Linked DNA regions of Mus musculus. The protein of the gene in region 1 binds, or shares a complex with, the protein of each later gene. Links are inferred from orthologs where the notes say so. Each region holds a gene or a part of one and is shown in the gene's direction. Other genes may lie near its edges.

Region 1 (10,374 bases):
GGGTTTCTGTTTAGCTTTTCTGAAGTCCTGACATCAGTTCCCAGCATTAAGAAAAAGTCTCTAAAATAATTACATTTCTAGGCATTAAAGAAAATATTATATAAGCCCCCAGCACCGAGACAGAGCAACAGAAGAAACATAGTGTTGTTAGTGTTGTTAGCAAAGCAAGACCACAAGTCAGAAAGAACACATTCTATGGTTTGCAAAGGAAATGAGATTTTAAGAAACTCAAGAAAAGAAAATTCTCACAAATATATGTAGCTGTATGATGGGTTTTTATTTTTGTTTGTGCTGTGTTGTTGGACACACAGTAACACTAAGCTGCAAGACCAGTCCTACATTATCTCTTGCTGTGTGAAGGAATAATTCAGGCTGTCAAGACAGCTTAGCAGGTAAAGGGACTTAACTTACCACTAAGCCTGGCAACCTGAGTTCTATCCTGGGATCCAGGGTGAAAGAACGGAGCTGACTCTTACGTGTTTTCCTCTGACCTCCACACATGCGCTAAGGCATGCATGCACCACATATAAATAAATGTTAATAAAACAATAATTTATTACATGTAAAACAAGAAATGCCAGCATTAAAATTCACAAGTGGATGAAACTCCAGATGCAACAGAATAGTACTCTTTTTAAAAAATATTTTTAGACTTTTATCCCTAGACTTGCACTCTTGAGCATTGACATCCTTAACAAAGCAGAGTGTAATACATTAAAAACAGCAGCAGCAGCAGCTCAGTGGGAAACTGATAGCACTACTATAAACAGACAGTGTGAACACCTCTCTGTCGTGTCTTCTGTGAGGATGGAGATCATGTGTTGTACAGGTCAGGCAAGCACTCTATCACTATGTAACCCTAGCTCCCATGTTTTTCTTTCTTTTTTTTTTTTTGGTTTTTTTTTTTTTTTTTTTTTTGGTTTTTTGTTTCAGAGTTTCTCTGTGTAGTCTTGGCTGTCCTGGAACTCACTCTGTAGACCAGGCTGGCCTCGAACTCAGAAATTCACCTGCCTCTGCCTCCCAAGTGCTGGGATTAAAGGCGTGAGCCACCACGCCCGGCTCCCATGTTTTTCTTAAAAGATACCCACAAGGGTAATATATGATTAAGGGGTGGGGGCTGAAAGTATAGTAGTGGGGTTTTCTGGGTTTTGTTTTTAATTTTAAAAAAATTGTATTCAATATTTTAAAGATTTATTTATTTATGCATTTATACAAATACAGGTCCTTTCCTGCATGTACACCAGAGGATGGCATCACACAGCTGTGAGCTGCCATGCAGGTTCTGGGAATTGAACTCGGGACCTTTGGAAGAACAGCAAGTACTCTTAACCACTGAGCCATGTCTCCAGCCCATAACTGTTTTTATTTGTAACTATTATAGTATCAAAATTGTATGTGATATAGCACTGTGTGGTAGTTTGACAGTTTTCCTCGTTTGTGCTGCATAAAATAATGATGCACCTTATAAGCTGACATAAATGCTGGGCTGGATGCATACACACCAATTTTAAAAAGTCAAATTTGCCAGCCTGGTCTACCAAGCAAACTCCAGTACAGCCAGGGAACATGAGAGACCCTTATCTCAAACAAAACAAAACAAAACAAAACAACTGAATAGATCTAAAGTTCTGTAAAATCCACACGCCGGGCAGTGAACAGTGTAGGGAAACCGAACACTTGCCATCAGAGTGGTCGAGAGTATTCTAGACCTGATGGAATCAATGAATCTTCAATACTGTGAGAGTGATTAATACATTTGTGTCTCAGCATACCTAGATATATGGTGAAAAGAATAAAAGAAAAAAAAAGCTGAGAAATCCTACAAACCAAGATATTAAATGAAACTAAAGAGTTAAGCTTGATGCCAGACTGTGGCATCAAATTGTGAGTTCAAGGCCAGCATGGATAACAGAGTGAGTTTGATGCAAGCCTCAAAAAATTATGGAGACTCTTAACAGGCTGAGGCTATAGCTCAATAAGTTATACAGTTTTCTGGCTAAATCCCCAAGCCAGGAAAAGAAAAATCAAACAAGACAAACTAAAGGGAAATGCAGTGAATAAGGAAAGAATAAATGAACATGAAATGGAATTAATATGCTCCTATGTAAACTTTTTCCCCTTTGGTCAGTCTTGGTAGATAGTCCAAGGTGAGTTTAAATCTAGGCCCTCCGACCTCAGCCTTCCCATGTGCTGGAATTATAATCACTAATCACTCTCACCAGCTAAAACGGTCCTTTTAACTTTCTGAAATTGTATATACCTTATTAGTGAAAAGCAAACAAACAAAAAACCCTTACACACATAAATAAAACATCACACACCAAAAGCTTTCTTCACAACTCAACCAACTTCTATACAGTTAGAAGAGGCATTCCAAATGGAAACTATCAAGTTTCACATTAAAGTATTACACTTTCATTATCAAATATATTTTACCTACCACCAAAACCAAAAGAAAAAAACATGAGAAATTGAAAAACTCTATATCCTTTTGTAAATGATGTTAATCTACCTGCAGTCAGTTCTTCCCCATCCTCATAATCAATAGGAAAAACAAAAAAACAAAAAAACTTTAGTAGAACAAAATGCTGCAGCCCAGGGACATATGAAAGACGCTCCACCTGCAACAGCTAACATTTTCAGGATGGGGCTCAGGCTCGGGTTCATCTTCAGCCTAAAATTAAGATGAAAATACTAGTAATATCTACCTTTAGAAAAATGTAGAGAACCAGACATAAAAGGAAAATAATTACGTGATACATATGGACTTGGTATCTTCTTTGGAGAAGCGTTCACGTTAAGAGGTATTTTTTTAGTCTTTAGAGAGAAAAGTTCAGAGCGACGCACACAGAAAAGTGATATGAAATGGGGGGGGGGGTAGGGGTGTTAAAATATGGTGGCCTCTTTATTACTCGATATTTTGCAGCGTATTTCTTACGTTAGGGAAAACGCTCCGTAGTGTTTAAAATACTCTCCAGCTTCAAGGCAGGCCGCCGCGCACAGCTCGATTTGCCTGTGACTTCCACTTCCGTGGCGCGGAAACTTCCTAAGGATGGAAACTGCAGCCTAAACTCCCACAAACTTGGGCGGTGACGACAGCCTACGCGAACCCCGTGATGCCCCTCGCCTCCCAGGCTCCTACCCCGCAGCCCCGCCTTTGCATACGCGGTGGGGCGGGCCTTGCTCAAACCACGGGTACGATTGGTCCTTGAGGAGAGGTGGGTGGATCAGCGCTGTGGCGTCATGACCTCGCGCAGGGAAAAGGCGCGCGCCTAGGAAGCCGCGGCATTAGACGGTTGCGGGCGCAGAGGGTTGGTAGTTGTCGCTGTAGGCCTTCGCTGCCGCTTCTGCATCGTGAATCGGGGGACCTTGGCAGCCAGACCTCGTTCCTCTTAGAGTAGCTCTCATCTAGTCGCCACAACTCCGCCACCATGTTTGAGGCACGCCTGATCCAGGGCTCCATCCTGAAGAAGGTGCTGGAGGCTCTCAAAGACCTCATCAATGAGGCCTGCTGGGACGTCAGCTCGGGCGGCGTGAACCTGCAGAGCATGGACTCGTCTCACGTCTCCTTGGTACAGCTTACTCTGCGCTCCGAAGGCTTCGACACATACCGCTGCGACCGCAACCTAGCCATGGGCGTGAACCTCACCAGGTGAGCGGGTGGCGGGAGCGGGGCCCCACTCTTCCCGCTTCCGCTCTTGGCGGGGCTGTGACTCTGCACGCTCATTGGCTGGCTTGGCCATCCGCGCTTTCTGATTGGTCTATGGTGTCGGGGGCAGCCCTCACCAAAGCGCGCGGTTCCGAAAAGCCCGCGCTGGCAGTGGCGCCCACTCTGTTTCCGCGCCAAAGCCACAAAGCGGGAGTCCGCGGGAAAATGAGTGCTCCGGAGCTGTGCTCATTAAATGCCTGCAGCTTTGAGTGGCTGGTCTTAGCGCCTAATAAACGAGTCTTAGTGCAAATGTAATGTCGACTTAGAGTGACAATAGACCTTTTCTTGACTTCCAGAGTCTCACTGCGCATCATGGATTTGAGGGGAAATCTGTCAGTTTTAGCTTTTAACTTTGCTACAGCTACCTAGGTTAGTGCCTCCTGTATACGTGTTCAAGGACAGTGTGTGACTTATTTTAGTACAGATACATGGATTAGTGCCACTTGTATACATTTTGAAAGATTTACGAAAAGGCCAGACGTGATGGGGCACATTCTCCAGTACACTAGAAACCAAGGACACCCCGCTCAAAAAGATGCTTTCTCGAATGTTGGCTTTTAGTGCATTTTACTAAGTCGGTTTTAAGAATCACATATACCCGGTAATTTGCTTCACCCCTGAGAGAGTTTGGGGTACCCTTAGCCCCTTTAACAGTTCTCCAACCGTGAGTGTGAAATGGTACAACTTGTAATTGCTTTTTAAAATATAGATGTGGATTACATGTTGATAAAGCCTGTCTTTTTTTTTTTCCCCCCTAGCATGTCCAAAATTCTAAAATGTGCTGGTAATGAAGACATCATTACATTAAGGGCTGAAGATAATGCAGACACCTTAGCACTAGTATTCGAAGCACCAAGTAAGTTAAACACCTTTAAAACTCGGTAGTTACGTGTTGTTTCTGTTTCTCAAAACCAAAAAAAAATATTAACAATATTGTAAAATTTCCATCATAGATAGGACCGTGTGGTGTGCTTTGGTAACATTTTCCTTCTTTTGGTAGATCAAGAGAAAGTTTCAGACTATGAAATGAAGTTAATGGACTTAGATGTGGAGCAACTTGGAATCCCAGTGAGTTACCTTGTTTCTGATTGTGTGTTACCCTGCTGTGATACCAGCTGATGCGTGTTCTGAGTGGAGTGGTGGTATTGGGGATGAATGGCACACTGCCATTTCACTAAACCACAGCAGTCTAAAGTTGATTGAGTTTTAAAGAAACCAGAAGTCTTGCATTCTGAGTTCTGGTTAAGATGCTAAATCTTGAGAACATGAAGCTGAGCCTTCCCCCTTTTCTAGACTGACCTTTAACTTGTGGGTTTACAGGAACAGGAGTACAGCTGTGTAATAAAGATGCCGTCGGGTGAATTTGCACGTATATGCCGAGACCTTAGCCACATTGGAGATGCTGTTGTGATATCCTGTGCAAAGAATGGGGTGAAGTTTTCTGCAAGTGGAGAGCTTGGCAATGGGAACATTAAGTTGTCACAAACAAGTAATGTGGATAAAGAAGAGGAGGCGGTGAGTAGTAAGGGGGCGTCCAGTTAGGTGTCTGAAGCAGGGATGGAGCCTCGGCTTTTGTTTTTATTTATTCATTCATTTTGAGATGGAGTCTTGAGTAGACCAAGCTATCTTAGAGCTCAGAGACGACTCCATAAGCTTTTACAGGTAGCATTTGGAAAGCTAAGTGTACAGCCTTTTGCTTCCTGGAAATACTCTTGGCAAATAAGTGAGGGTTGGCAAGTGAGCAAAAGAAAATGGTTGGGGGTGTATGTAGCTTTATGTGTTGCAGGTTCAAGAGTATTTGCAGTCCCAAGGGAAATAAGAAAGACTTCACAAAATGTGGAAAGAGTTGTATTAAATGCTCTTGACAGTTACATCCATAGAGAAAGCTGGGCATGATGTCTCAAACCCACAACTGTAGTACTCAAAGCTACAGCAGGAAGATTCTCAGCTTAAAGTCAACCTGGCAGAAAATCTAGCTCAAAAAGAATGAGGAAGAAATTGGGAAGGCAAAGGAAGATGTTCTCCGAGTCCTCCTCATTCAAGTAGAACATACTAGGCCTCTTTAATTTCTAAGTATCCCTGAATCGAGGCTTTTTCTCAGGAATCCAATGTATATTTCATGGCTACACTTTTTTTTTTCTTTTTTAAGTTTTGCTAGCTAGCCTGAGCATCAGAATTACACACAGAAGTCTGAACTAAATAGGATTTTTAGGGTTTAGTATAGTGAAATTCAGAGTGCTTACTGCAAGTATTTAAGGTAAATATAAGGTGTTACTTGGCCTCTGCATGAATTTAAAGTAAATGAAAGTGTAAGAATTCGAACATAGATAAACACACAACCCAAGAACTAGTTCTTAACCTTAATCTGCTGAATTATTTCTACTTCCATATCAACTTCAGCTCCTCAGTTCTCAAATACTGACATGTAATTCATCAGTATTTGTCTGATGTGCAAGCATTTCCACAACAAAAGAAATTAAGGAATTTTTCAGTATCCACATGTTCAAGGATTGGGAATTGAATAAAATTGATAATCATACAATGAAGACTGGTTTACTGTCCCTTAGCTTGCATTCAGCTGTTGGTTCTTGTTTTTGGAAGTGGTTATGTGTTATCTTCCTCTCTTCATGCATTCTTTGCAAGAGAAGTATGTACAATCTGAATAGGAACAACTTTCTCCTTTGTTTTGATTGCTTGGGGTGTGGCTCTACAGGATGGGCAAGCTAGACTTTTTTCTTCTTTAGTCAAGGTTTTCATCAACCCTTCCAAAATGATAACTATTTGTTTTGCTTTGTGGTATAATACCGTGATCTAATAGTGTGAGTTTCTGATGTCTACAGTGAGCCTGTTTTCTCCTCTAGGTAACCATAGAGATGAATGAGCCTGTTCACCTAACGTTTGCTCTGAGGTACCTGAACTTTTTCACAAAAGCCACTCCACTGTCTCCTACAGTAACACTCAGTATGTCTGCAGATGTGCCCCTTGGTAAGATGATAAGTTTGAACATTGTTTTGTAATGTGGTATTTATAGTATTCGGTGGTTTAATTTTTCCTGTCTTTCAGTTGTAGAGTATAAAATTGCTGACATGGGACACTTAAAGTATTATTTGGCTCCCAAGATTGAAGATGAGGAAGCATCTTAGGCATTGCTAGAAATTGAGAAAACTAAACCTTTGAAGATTGCTCCTGAGATGCCAGCGTGTCCTGAGGTCTTTTCTGTCACCAAGTTTGTACCTGAGTATTCTTAAATATTAAAATAAAATATGTAGATATCTTCTGTAAATAACCTACTTTCTTTTCTCTCCATTCTCCATAATTTGCTTAAAGAATAAGCTCCAAAGTAAAAACTAGTTTTGTTAACATGAATGTTTCTGCTTTACAAATACTGGTGATTTTCATCAATGATCTTGACGCTAAATGCAGTTTTAAGAAATATTGTTCAATTTAAATAAAGTTAACAATTTGAAAAGTCATAGAGCAGTGCCGCCTTTGTACCATGGCTACTGAATAGTTATACCCTGTTAGGTAAATGGGCTTTTGTTCTCTCTTCCATCGTGGAGATAGCAATAAAAAAATGTTTCTCTTGAGTTTATGTAATTACGTTGTGCAAAGTTTTCTGGTAGCCTTGTTTGGGATGTAGCTCTTTTAAAATACAACTTTAATGGCAGTGCAGGGGGTGGGGTGGATAAATCTCTCCCTAGGCCAACCAGGACTACATACAGTCCATCTTGAGTGAAGCAAAGGCCCAAACTTCGTGGCTACTTGATCCAAGAAGGGTTAAAAAGGCCCTGTGGTTTTGATCATGATATGCTACATAAAACTAAAGAATATTTGAGTATATTTATTGTGTATGTGTGAGGCTCATGTGGGGGTCAGGACAATTTTATAGGAATTGGTATACCCCAGCACCCTGGCTTCCAGGGGTTGAATGAAGTTCTTCAAGCTTGGTGACAAATTATCCTACCTCCCCTCTCAGTTTTTATGTGTGTGTGTCTTTTGCAGGTATGAGTGAGCATGCGTGTGTTAACCTGGTTTGGTGTGGGGAACCATTTTCAGTTCTTGCTATATTTCAGCAGGATCTCAAACCATGGCTAGTATAGAGCCTGTTTGCTCTGTTCCGGGAGGCCACATTTGAAGGCCTTTAAATACTAAGCTCTATCTGTGGACCCCAAGATATTTTTCCTTTGTATTTCATGTTTGACAGTATGTAGACAATACAGCTTTGTTCTGGGAGGTTGTTGGTTAGAGCTCATGCCTAGTAGCTACAACTGTTCAATACTTTGAGCCAATTAAGTGCAGAAGGAAGTAGCCTGCAAATACTGCTCTCAGAGAACTCTGGAGTGGTGGGAATGCTTTATCAAGACGTCACTTTCATGAGGATGAATGTTAGAACTCAGCTGTGTCTGGTAGGTAGGACACTTACCTGGGTAGTGTTTAATAATCAGGTAGTAATAACAAGATTTTGGGGCTGTGAGAACGCTAATTAGTGAGTGGTGACCAGTGTCAGCATAGGGGTGTTTAGGACAGGGCAAGATTCCTGGTGGGTATCCCTTGTCCACCCCTCTGGATACCCAGGACTCTGCTGTGCACCGATGTGGCCATGGGGTCAGGACTGGAACCTCAACAGTTTTGCTGTGAACTCGATCCTGGTGGGTGAGACCCTAAGTACGCGCCCGCCCACCCTATGGAGGTAGCAGGTCCTGGTCACCAGGGCAAAAGCAAGCCGCTACCCGGTTGAGCATGGTGGCATTCGCCATTTGTCCCAGGCAAACCTTATGTTCGAGGCCAGCCTAATCAGCATCCTGAGTTCCAGGACAGCCTGCGCTACGTAAAGAAACGCTACCAAACATAAAACAAGACAGCAATGAAGCCCTCCAGCCATGTGCCCTGGAAGCAAGATTCGATGACACGATTTCCTGGTGACAGCACTTCCGGTGCGCCTCTATCCGCCACGTCACTTCCGCTGGGCTGTCCTTAAGACCGCCCCTTCCGCTTGGCTGTTGAGCGAGCCTTGCGAGCGCGCCTAACGGAGAACGGGGAGCGCAGCGCGGGTAGGGGGCGGGCGCGCGCTCCCGGAAGCCAGCCGCGAGACCTGGCCCTGCCACCGAGGCTGCTTCCCGGAGACAGTTAGTTCACGTTGGCGGCGGCGGAGGGCGACGAGAGGTTGTCCACAGCGCCACGCTTAGGTCCTTGTGGGCCCGGGAGGGTGGGCAGAAATCGTGGTGGGGCCGGTAAAAAGTGTAGCAGAAACTTGGGCTGATAGTTTTTTAAGTTGTCATTTACTATGTGATAACGCCACTCTAGAATCCCTTGCTAAGAAAAACAAATCTTCCCATTTCGTTGTCGTGCTGCAACGTTTTTGTTTTGGTGCGAGTTTATAAGTGGAAAGTACATAACTTTATAACTTGTAATACAAATCAGGCATGGTTTAATGCTTCGAAAATCCTGCTTATTGGTAGCTTCAACTTTTAGATATGAGGAATTAAACATGTTATGGGATGGCAACATCAAAAACCTAGTACCTAAGGTTTAGAAATGTAAATGGATTCCCGTTGCTCCTTTTTAGTACTTCTGAACTAGGATGTAATTAACCAAAACGCAGAAACACTTGACACCAGTTTTTTGCATGCTAGTTACTTAAGGTCGACTGTAATACCAGTGTCTGGCAGCTCATTAAGATCGAAAAAATATCACATGCCATTGTGGAGATTATGTGCAAAACATCACACCAGTGAAGGCCACTTAGTTTTCTTCTTAAAGATGGACTTTTTGCGTTTAGAATTCAAATGCCATTGCAAATAAAATAGTCTGTTTTGTTTACATAATTGTATGACTTTATAAAGAATCCACACATTTCATTTATGGTAGGGGAGAGTGTCTGGTCTTCCTATGTTGCCCAGACTGGCCTCCAACTTCGTATATCCACACCTTTCTTCCCAAGTAGTTGGGATTAGAGTAACCTACTGAAGTACTGAGCTTAAATTTCAAACTTTTAAGATTTAAACGTCATTGCTTTTAAATTTTACCTACTCTCAAATAATTCAGTAGTTATGATTTTTATTATGTCTGTCTGCTTTGAATAGTTTGAGTAAAACGGATTTTTAGATCCGTTTTTTCAGGAGCTACATGATGTGGAATGTAAACTCACTTGTTTCATGCTTGGGATGGGAGCAGAGAGGCAGGTGGCCGTGGATGTCTAGTGTGGTATGGATAGCCAGGGCGTTTCCCACATGGATAAGAATTTGTACATAGAACCGTACCACACCTAGAAGTAGACACGATGCTGATGTGTGTGTCATTCCTTATCCTCCTCCTCCTCCTTTCATGGCAGACAAAAAAGTTATGTGAATTTATGCTCCTGAGGAAAGTTAAGGGGTAGGCAGTACTGTAAGGGAGGGGTTGAAAATGTGAACATTGGACTTTAGAAAATTAGGCCAGAAACATCGGTAGCAGATTGAACAGAGCCTGATTCTTGGTGAAGTGCCTTTGGTGTCTTTCTGTGAAGTCAACCTAGATCCATAAAGGAAGCATGCTTAGTGTGTACAAGAAGTGTCGGGTCACCGTAAGCAGTGAAACGCCTAAGCTACCATGGGTAGCATGTGGCACAGCAGCTCGGAACAGTATCTGACATCCTTTCCTGGGCTGTACTGGGACTGCTGCAGACA
Region 2 (10,718 bases), on another chromosome or scaffold:
TATATATTCATATGTAAGTTAACACCAGATATAAGCAAGTTGTTTTACTTAATTTAGCCAGGCCCTTATATAAGGATCCAAGTTAATTTGATAGAAATTTTATTATGTTATTTGGTGCATGATGCATGTTTGTATTACTAATAAAAGTTTATAGTGAGCTCAAAGGATTAAGTGCCAGGCAATGTAATCTTTTTTTTTTTTTTAACATTTAGTATTATATGGGAAAAAACTAATACATTTCCTTTTCTATCACCTGCCAATTTAGTTACCTAAAACCATAAATAAATTATTCTTCCTATAGGCAAGAATGGGAAATGGAGGGCTGGTTCTGTGGTTTGCAACAAGAGCAATCCGAAATTTTCATTTCCACTTGGAAACACATCCACCTCTATGACATGTGAGTGCTGGACATTTTTACAACAGGTCATGGGAAGGGTTAATTGGGAAGTTTTCTACTTCAAGTAGGAACAGAATATTATAGTTTCATTAGTCTTTAGCATACACAACTCTTACTACACTTCCTTGTTTATAAGAATTGCAGCTTAATAGTAACCCAAATGGTTATAACTGGATATTTAAAACGTCAGTTCAAACAAAAACCTCTTTAATTACTGGGTAAGTCCCTTTAGAGAAGCACCCAAGTACACAGAGCTCAATAACTCAGTGGCATGTGACCATGTAGATGCTGTCAATCTTGGATAGTACCAGCAACACTTCATAACACAACTGTTGGCATGCTAATCGAAACCTGGCTCGGCTGCACCAACTCCAAGGACACCTTTATGTGTGAAAACTATACTTTCAAATATACTTGGGAACAGGGAGGAATATGGTATTTCAAAGAAAAAAAAATACCCAAGGACTGCTAAACAATGGAGTAGGAACTAAAGAGCAAGGATTTAACTCAATGTTGGAATACTTGCTGGCATGTATGAGGTGAAAGGTTCAATCCCTAGCATTGAGGAAAAAAAAATAGCAAAAATAAAACCAACAAACCTCAAGAGCACAAAGCAACAGTCTGGTAAGATAACTTTCTCAGTCTTAACTTTGTATCAGTCACTTGGTTTCTCTGGTAACAGAATGAGTCCAAAAGCAACTGTAAACTAGACCTTGAAACATATTAACAAAGTAAAGCAGGACAACAACCCTAGTTTACTACTAAAACACTAAAACACAAAGCACATTTTTATTATGGGTAATCTATTTGAAATATGTTCCAAACGCAGAAATTTTAAACAAAAGGAAAAAAGATACTGTGTATGACAAAATTCTCTTTGATACCCAATGACCAATTTCATATATTCTGTCTGCTTAAAAAAAAAATGGCTAAAGGCTAGCAAGATGGTTTAGTGCATAAAGGCACTTGGCCTTCAAATCAGACCACCTGAGTTCAATCCCAGAGACCAATAGGATAGAAGAAGAACTGATTTCTCCTAACCTTACCACTGTCCTCCACCCTCCTAAAATGTATCATGGTACTTCTGTGCTGCGCCCCGTACCCCAGTAAATGTAATAAAACAAAAACAAAAAAATTGGCTATGAGATATTGTTTTAAGCCACTGTGTACATTAACACTCAACAGTAGAAGAGATTTTTGAGACTGCAACAATACTCTGCATATGAACAGCAAATTCATTCTCTAAATATGAAAATGAGAAAACAAAGATAAAAACTTAATGTAACAAATATATACATGTGAGACACAATCCTAGTAGCTTTACATAGTCTATTTACAGCTCCATAGATTAAGCATTATCCTCCCCATTATTAACCGAGGTTAGGTTAGATTAGCCTCATAAAATGGTCCCACAAATAGTAAAAGAATGTAGTCCCCTGTATTTTCATCAGACCTTCCATACAAAGAATTCATGAGACCTAAATATATCACTGCATAAATTGCCAACTAATTATCAAGTTTGGGGAACTATGCTAGGGAATGTATGCTATGGGGACTCAATGGAGAAGCTGAGGGAACTAATCTTCAAAAGCTATGTACTACATTAAAAAAATCAGTAACACATAACCAGATTCCTTCTTAATCCAAGTGAATGGATCTATTTTACTTCTGTATCTACTTGCATTATTTTGAGAACATGGCAGATTCCTAAGGTACTTCTGTGACCCAGAAGAAATAGTCTATTAGTCAAAGCATAGGTTGTTTATTCAGAACCAGTGTTCTCTCTAAAACAAATAAATCTTAGAAATGGGGTGGTCTGTAGCCATGCCTATTATAGATTACAGGGTCCACTAAAGTCATATTCTCCTAGGCTGAAAAAGCAGAGTGGAATTTGAAAAGATGGGCACACTATCAAAATCTGATACAATTATAAGACAATCCCCTAAAATATAAAGACATAAAATCTGAAGAGAATGATATTTCTTCAGTTAAATGGGTAGCTACATGAACTCTACTGATTCAAGTATTATAAGGAAGGGGCTTCGAGGTTGATTTCATCTTTTTATGACTCGATGCTCTTGGAATCAATGACATTTAAATTTAAGAGGTTTCTTTAGCTGGGCGATGGGGGGCCACACCTTTGATCCCAGCTCTTGGGAGGCAGAGACAGGTGGATTCTGTGAGCTCAAGGCCAGCCTGGTCTACATTGTGAGTACCAGGACAGCCAGGGCTACACAGAGAGACCCTGTCCAGGGAAAAAATCTAAAATAAAGGGGAGTATGGTATGAGATTCTTTAACGTGACCCAGCCAAACTATAACCTTAGGAGTGGGATATGTGTGTTTGTGTGTATTCATTCATGCTAGAAATTCTATTTTTACCTCTTCAGAAATGCACCTTATTATTTAGTAAGCAGCACTGCTTTGGAAGATACCTCTTCACCTCTAACTAGTTTAGGGGACTTGCTCTCTCAGGACCCAATTCACAGAAGTCACAACAGCCAAACCCAATTTTGTTTCTCCTTAAAAGCAACTTCAGACAACAGTGACAATCTCTGGTACATAACCACAAGAAGAAAAAAAAAAAAACTTCTAATATACAGGGATGGAAAGGGGGGAGGGGGATTTACATCATAACGTCCCCCGTAGGTTCGTCCATCAACGACCAAGGCTCTGACAGTCATTCAACTTTCTTGCTAATTTCCCCACTGTGTTTTTTCTAGCAGTACGGGCAGTACGGGCACGACGTGCTGTTTCCCTTTTGGTGTGTGTGACAATTCCCCGGAGCGGGGGTATCAGCCCCGGGCATCTGGTCCAGGCCCCGGAGAACAGTTCCGCGAACGGTCCCTGCTCCAGCCTGGCCTGACTATGTTGCTTTTCCCCTCCGTCCTCCCCGGATCTCCAGGGCTCGCAAGAGCAGCAGCTGCAGCAGGGACGCTCGGGAACCTGTCCCCAGCTCCCCCGCTAGGCCTCAAGGGGTTGGCGCTGCACATGGCCCCCAGCGAAGCGGCGGGCACCGCGCGGTGGAGGCGACTAGAGGGCTCGCCTCAGAACCCGACGGCCCCTGGCGGGCCGGAGGAGAGGGGAGGGACGCCGTCTCCTCAGCGCTTAGCTCCCCGGCTGCCTCACTCTCCCGCTCCGTTAGCGCTACCGGTTGGCGGGCGGGGGAGGGGAGCGAGCGCGTTATTCCCGGGGCGCCGCGGGGGAGGGGACAGCATCTCTTACCCGCGTTACTGAGAAGGAGCAGGAGGAGGTGGCGGGAGCGCGGCACAGCGGGGCGACGGCGGGGCCGGCTGGTTGCAAGGTAGAGTCTCACGGAAGGGAATTAACCCCATCACCAGCCCGGACACCGGCTCCAGCGGCAGCCGCGGCGGCAGAATCCCGCCCCTTCCCACCACGCACTGGCCCCGCCTCTCCGTCGCGTTGACGGAAAGCAGCCTACCTCATACGCTAGGTCAACATTAAGTGACATACAAATTATCCAATCAGCGTTTGAAAACCACTTTCGCTCCACCCCCATTATCACTGCGGGACAGCGGGAGAACGGGACTAAGTCTATCTCCACCCACAAAAGAAAAAGAACCAATCCCGGGCAAGTTGTCGTCCCTGAACGACGTAAGAGTCAACCAATGATAAAGCTAGGAGGACAGCCATTTTGCCCACTTGTGAAAGAGCCACCTTTCCCACGAGTAGAATCCTGAGGTGGGCGAGTTCCGGGCGATTTTAATCACTGGAGATGTGGTAGACAACTCTCTTTCTTCAGGGAATGATTATAGAGCTTTTTAAGGATGAAAGGACAATTTTGTCGTTCATGTGGGAAGATGAGAGGAAGGCTTTAAGGATGTGGCTCCGCCCCTTAGCGGTAACGGGTTCCAGGCTGAACACCTGGTTCCTCCAGTCTTAGTGGTGGAGGCAGGGCTTCTGAGCACTTTGGCTCCTGCGACTACAGTTCCCAAGATGCTTTGAGACCCTGTTTTCCTCATTTTGCTTCCGGTAGTGTTTCATGGGAATTGTAGTTCTTGAGAGGTTACGGTGTAACCTCCTTGTCTAGATGAGTAAGAGGAAATTTTTGAATAATTTGGAGTTGAGAATGAAGTCGCAAGGTTCTAGTCAGGTCTTTTCGCATCGCTAAAGGAAGGAGAATATAACAGGGTTGGGAATTTTCTCAACACATTACAATGTTTTAGAGTGCTGGTATTTGAACTCTTCCAAGTCTAGGTCATCCGTTTAACGTCACTTCCGCTTAGTTGAAGACGCTTGCAAAAAGTTTGGCGGGAGTTGAAGATTATGAAGCTAGTGCTGCATTTTGGCGGACTGTATAGGGCAAGAGATGGGAAATTGACTGCACTTTAATTGCGCTATAAGAAAATAGTGGGTAACAGTCGGGCGTGGTGGCTGATGCCTGTAACAGCTGGAAGCTGAAAGGTCGCCGCGAGTTCATAGCCTGGGCTACAGAGTGAGTTTTAAAACAGCTGGGACTACAGAATTCACCTTGTCTAAAATAACCCCCCCCCCCGCACTGCCCCCTCCCCCTAAAAAAACCCATCCAGAAATATGAAATGGCATGGGTGTAATTCTCGAGCCTGTAATGTAATTTTCTACTTTGCTACTTAGTCTTGCAGAGCCAGTGTTTATCAGATCTGTTCACTCTTGAGTTTGTAGAGGATGCTTTAATTTGCCTTTAGCTACTGTCTGTGAAGCAGCATAGGTTCATGTCCTGGAAGGTATTGGAAATTCTGAACTAATTCCTCCCATTTATACAAATAGTCCCCAGAAGTCAGAAGTTGCCTTTGAACAGGATCTTAAAAAAAAAAAAGTCTCCTCCATCATTTTTATGGAGACTTTGTCTTACTACTTTTCTCATAAATATTTATTGAGCACTTACACTAGTGGTAAATATACTAGGCTTAAAGGATTGAAGAGTGCACAGAAAGGTAAGTTTTGTTTAAAACGAGTTAGAAAGATTAAGCAAAATTTATGTTACTTGGTCTTTTTAATATCTCCAAATTTAGCATCTTCATAGTTATGTTTTGTGTGTTGATTTGGTTTCCTCTTTGCTTTCTACTTTTAGATTTAAAAACCATTCCTTTCTATTTTCATTATTTTTATTGAAGTATTAAGTCTGTGTCCAGAACTGTTAAGAGGTGTTTTATATACTATGTGGATGAGAGTCCTAACTAGTGCAATCCCAGAGACAGAAATATATCTGCAACTTCCAAGCAGACAAAACACTCTTACTTTTTTAAAGAAAATAAATGTTTTTGCTTTTCAATATAATACTTTCACGTGTGTGTGTGCAAGTGTGTGTGTGTGCTATATGAATATTAAACAGAAGGCATCATCCCCATCTAGGAGTTAGAGTTTCAAGTGATAACTTAGCATTGTCCATAAATGCTTAGTTGGGATTTTTTTCATAAGTCCTTCCAGAGTAGAAGTCAATATGTAGTAATAATGACAATCATATTACTGAATATTTAATCTGAGCCCCAAAAGGGCTAAGGGTGTTTAGTATGTCTTTTATTTTTTTGAGTGCTGGAGACAAACCGAGAGCCTTGCATTTGCTGGATAATGTGCTTTGTCACTGTGTTCCAGCCTCACTTTCAACTCTAAACCATTGCTTCTCAAATGTTTAGGAATCTCAAAAAGTTCAGCCTTCCCCTGCCACCGGGATGCTGGGATTAAAGGCTGTCACCACCATGCCTAGCAAAAAGGTGTTACTTTTTGTTCTGTTTTGTTTTTTTCTTAAAGGTTTATTTATTTTATGTGTCTGAGTGCGTGCATGTATGTGCACCATGTACATGCCTATAAGAAGTCATTGGATCTCCTGAAACAGAAGTTCCAAATGGTTGTGAGCCACCTTCTAGGTGCTACAAATCTAACCTGAGTCCTCCGCAAAAGCAGCAAGTGAACCACTGGCCCATTATTCTTGGCCCTCTGCAGAATGACCTGTTAGGTTTTTTTACAGTCCAGTCTTTATCCCCATCCTGTTCCGCCCCCTGACTGTTCCTCATCCTATAGTTCCCTCCACCCCCAATCTCCAAGAGGATGCCCCCACCCCACCAGACCTCCCTACTCCCTGGGGCCTCCAGTCTCTTGAGGGTTAGATGCATCTTCTCTCACTTAGTCCAGACCCTGCAGTCCTCTGCTGTGGATGTGTTGGGAATCCTCATATCAGCTGGTGCATGCTGCCTGGTTGGTGGCCCATTGTCTGAGAGATCTCGGGAGTCCAGGTTACTTGAGACTGCTGTTCCTCCAACAGGGTTGCCCTCCTCCTCAGCTCCTTCCAGCTTTTCCCTAATTCAACCACAGGGTCAGCAGCCTCTGTTCATTGGTTGGGTGGAAGTATCTGCATCTGACTCAGCTGCTTGTTGGGTCTTCGGAGGGCAGTCATGATCTGTCCCTTTTTGTGAGAACTCCATAGCCTCAGTAATGTGTCAGGTCTTGGGGCCTCCCCTTGAGCTGGATCCCACTTTAGGCCTGTAGCTGGACCTCTTTTTCCTCAGGCTGTTCTCCATTTTAGTCCAGGCAGTTTTTTCCAGATAGGAACAATTATGGGTCAGAGTATTTGACTGTGGGATGGCAACCCCATGCTTCCACTGGAGGTGGATTCTACAAGTTCCTCTCCCCACTGTAGGGCATTTCATCCAAGGTCCCTCCCTTTGAGTCCTGAGAGAGTCTCACCTCCTGGATCTCTGGTACATTCTAGAGGGTCCCCCTACCTCCAACTCCCAAGATTGCCTGTTTTGATTCTTTCTGCTGGCCCTCAGTCCTGTTCCTCCCCCACCTCCCAATTGTTCCCCTTTACAGAATGACCTGTAGTTGTGTGGATTGTATCCTGGGTACAGAGTGACCTGTTAGGATGGCATGCTACTGCTTTATTTAAAGCACAGTGGGTTAATTATGACAATATTACTGTCATTGTTTATGATGCCTGTATTCCATGATGTAGCTCAAATATAACCTATTTCTTGCTAATGGTTATTTACAGTTGCCAATCAGTAATATTTTTTTGTTACTGTAATGAAAGTATATAACAAAATCTACCATTTTAAGCATTAAGTGTGGACTTTACAGTGCATTAACCTTTTATACCTTGGTGTACAATACAGCTGTGAAAGGTCTTTCTTACATAGCAAAAAATTCTGTTTTCACTCTGCCTGACTCCTTGCAAGCACCATTCTGCTTTCTGTTTCCAAGAGCTTATCTTCTATCTCATGTAAAGGAACAGACTCCTGCAGCGTTTGACATTTTATAACTAGCTTATTTAACTTAATATCTCCAGAGTTCATTCATGTAGGCTGTGCAAGGATTTCCTTCTCAATGCTGAGTCCCTGGCACTTAAGTATCACATTTTATAAATGAATTCATCTGTTGGCAGGCATTTAGTTTGCTTTCCCTTCCTGGCTTTTGTGGCTAGTGCTGCAGGAGTACAGGAGGGCAGATCCTTTGTTTCTGAGTGTGTACAGACCCTGTGGACCGGAGTTTACCCTGGGGCAGTCAGTTCTCTTCTATCAGGTGGGACTGGAGAGCAGACTCAGGTCACTGGCCTTGGCTGCGGGAGCTTTTACCCTCTGACTTGTCGGCTACTTTTAGGTTCATCCGAAGAGTCTCTATGACTCCTAGATTATTCTCCAGGAGGAATATTTCCACGTTCTTTACAATAGCACTGTATGAGAGAACCCGTTTCCTGTGTGCGTGGTGTGCAGCTGTACTCCCTTGTGTGGGTGCATGTGGAAACCAGAATTTCACGTTGGGGTGTCTTCTTCCTTCTCTTCCCCACTATACTTTTTTGGTTTTTTTGAGACAGGGTTTCTCTGTGTAGCTCTGGCTGTCCTGGAACTCACTTTGGAGACCAGGCTGGCCTTGAACTCAGAAATCCGCCTGCCTCTGCCTCCAGAGTGCTGGGATTAAAGGCGTGGGCCACCACGCCGGGCCCACTATACTTTTTAAGACAGACTTTCACTGAACGGGAAGCTTCCCAATCAGTTAGACTGGCTAGCTTGGGAGCTGCCAGGACCCTATTGTCTTTGACCTCCCCACCCCAGTGCTTGGGTTACAGTTTAATTTTGTATGGGTTCTATGGAGGTCAGAATTCAGGTTCTCAGACTTGGATAACAAACACTTTACCCACTGAGCCTTGTCTTCAGCCACCTCCTTCCTCTTTCCTATCTCTTTACTCTATCCAGTCTGATTGTAAAGTGATGACTCATTACTTTGTATCTATATGTACCCCACCTGGCTGAAAATGTTTTATATGTATATTGCCCATTGATGTCTTGTAGCTTGTTGCTGTCTTAGCATCATAATATTTTTAAAGAAATACTTCAAACCCAGCATGGTTGTGTACGCCTTTAATTCCCAGCACTTGGGAGGCAGAGGCAAAAGGATCTCTCTGAGTTTGAGGCTAGCCTGCTCTACAGAACAAGTTCCAGTACAGCCAGGGCTACATAAAGAAACCCTGCCTCAAAAAAAACTGAAGGGAAAAAAGACAGACAGACTTCAATTTTTTCAGTTTGTCATATATTTTGGGAATCTTTACTCACATTTAAAATTTTATTTTTTAACTTTTTTTCCAAGAAATGAATTTGTAGTACTTTAGTGTTTAAATCTAAGTCTTTTCTTTTTTGTAGTATCTATCTGTGATGTCAAAAGTAGTTTCCCACTCTAGTATTCAAAAGCAAAATACCATATATTTTTTTTCATATTTAATAGTCACCTGTATTATTCTTTGGTATAAAGAAAAAAAATGGGATTATTTTGTAAATGCTAGGGATTTAACACCAGGATTCCTGCATTCTATCACTGAACTAGCTTTTGGTCTTGTTTTGTTTTTGTTTTTATATGAGCCTCAAGTTGCTCAGGATAGCCTTGAACTCCCTAGGTAGCTGAGGCTGACCTTGAACTCCTAATCCTTCTCTTCTGCCTCCTGAGTACTGGGATTACAGGCACTGGCTAGGCACTCCTTAAATATTATCAGATGACGAATCTGGAAGCAATGTTGTAGAATGGAAAAGTTCAGACTATCACACCAGAGTCCTAGACTAGGTGTCATCACAGTTCTGAGACTTGTGTAAATTATTTATTAGCTCATTATCCCAACTTTAACATGCAGATTGAATGAAAAAAGAAAGAAAGAAAGAAGTTAAAAGAAAAGGAACATGACTAGCCTAGGTATATTGGAGGAGAAAGATTATTATTGATAATAGGGCAGAGGCAGGGACATCTAGGAGAGTCCAGAGTAGGTATGATCTGGCTGAGCTGGGCCATGTGGAGAGAGGGGAACCAGGTGCAGTAGCCAAGAGGGCAAAGGTGCAAAAGAGGCTGGTAACCAAAATGGCTGGATTATATAAGGAAGAACTTCTGGGAAAGGGCAGCCCAGCCCCTGGTCTGGAGAGTTCGGGTAGAGGGTAGGGTGTGCCAGCCATATCCCGTACTATGTAGGGACTGAGGGATGCTGGGAGAACTTGGGTGCCAGGTCCATTTTGATATGTTAAGTAGTTACCTCATTTGTCCAGGGTTTGAAACTTAACACAGATAACAATATTTTGTGGCCCAGCAAGATAGCATAATGGATAAAGGCACCTGCTTGCTGGCAAGGATGAAGACCTGGCCTTAGTCCCCAGAATTTACCTGGTGGAAAGATGATTAGTCCCCAAAAGTTCCCTGATCTCTACACGGATGCTGTAGTACTTTCAAAGACATGTAGAACCCCTCACAGGATAAGTAAATGTGAAAAACAACGACAAAGGGCTGGAGAGATGGCTCAGTGGTTAAGAGCACTGACTACTCTTTCAGAGGTCCTGAGTTCAATTCCCAGCAACCACATGGTGGCTCACAACCATCTGTAATAGGATCTGATGTCCTCTTCTGGTGTGTCTGAAGACAGCAACAGTTACAGTGAAGTCACATATATAAAATAAATAAATCTTAAAACAAACAAACAAGCCAGGCAGTGGTGGCACACGCCTTTAATCCCAGCATTTAGGAGGTAGAAGCAGGCGGATTTCTGAGTTCAAGGCCAGCCTGGTCTACAGAGTGAGTTCCAGGACAGCCAGGGCTACACAAAGAAACCCTGTCTTGGAAAACAACAACAACAACAACAAAAATATATGCTTTGTATGTTGCTTTGAGAATTACAGAAGATTTTATCTCTTAGCATAGTGCCTCTATAGAAGAAATTATAAGTGGGAGTTGGTGTGGTATTGGTGGTTTATTGGTGAGCAGAGTTGCTGTTAAGTTTCAAACCTGGGACCAAAGGCCAAAGTACCTACTTAATATATCAAAGTGGACCTCTCTGCCAGGTTCTTCCTCAGTCCCTACCTG

Evidence for each region. Proteins that work in one complex are often made in the same cells at the same time.
Region 2: the proteins of Pcna (region 1) and Zranb3 are in contact, whole or in part, in a crystal structure (PDB 5YD8), measured with the Homo sapiens proteins. The link is inferred for Mus musculus from reciprocal best matches to the Homo sapiens genes PCNA and ZRANB3. Residues at the interface, in NP_002583.1 of Homo sapiens: Met40, His44, Val45, Ser46, Leu47, Gln125, Leu126, Gly127, Ile128, Pro129, Asp232, Val233, Pro234, Tyr250, Leu251, Ala252, Pro253; in NP_115519.2 of Homo sapiens: Asp1071, Ile1072, Thr1073, Phe1075, Leu1076, Val1077.

What each region holds. Positions count from the first base shown.
Region 1 is NC_000068.7:132,246,094-132,256,467, reverse strand, and holds Pcna (proliferating cell nuclear antigen), read left to right. Parts: upstream 1-3,287; 5' UTR 3,288-3,431; coding exon 3,432-3,652; intron 3,653-4,467; coding exon 4,468-4,565; intron 4,566-4,709; coding exon 4,710-4,777; intron 4,778-5,029; coding exon 5,030-5,224; intron 5,225-6,570; coding exon 6,571-6,694; intron 6,695-6,772; coding exon 6,773-6,852; 3' UTR 6,853-7,182; downstream 7,183-10,374. UniProt on the Homo sapiens protein: Auxiliary protein of DNA polymerase delta and epsilon, is involved in the control of eukaryotic DNA replication by increasing the polymerase's processibility during elongation of the leading strand.
Region 2 is NC_000067.6:128,096,386-128,107,103, reverse strand, and holds the start of Zranb3 (DNA annealing helicase and endonuclease ZRANB3), read left to right. Parts: upstream 1-4,632; 5' UTR 4,633-4,851; exon of another isoform or gene 4,852-5,329; intron 5,330-10,718. UniProt on the Homo sapiens protein: DNA annealing helicase and endonuclease required to maintain genome stability at stalled or collapsed replication forks by facilitating fork restart and limiting inappropriate recombination that could occur during template switching events.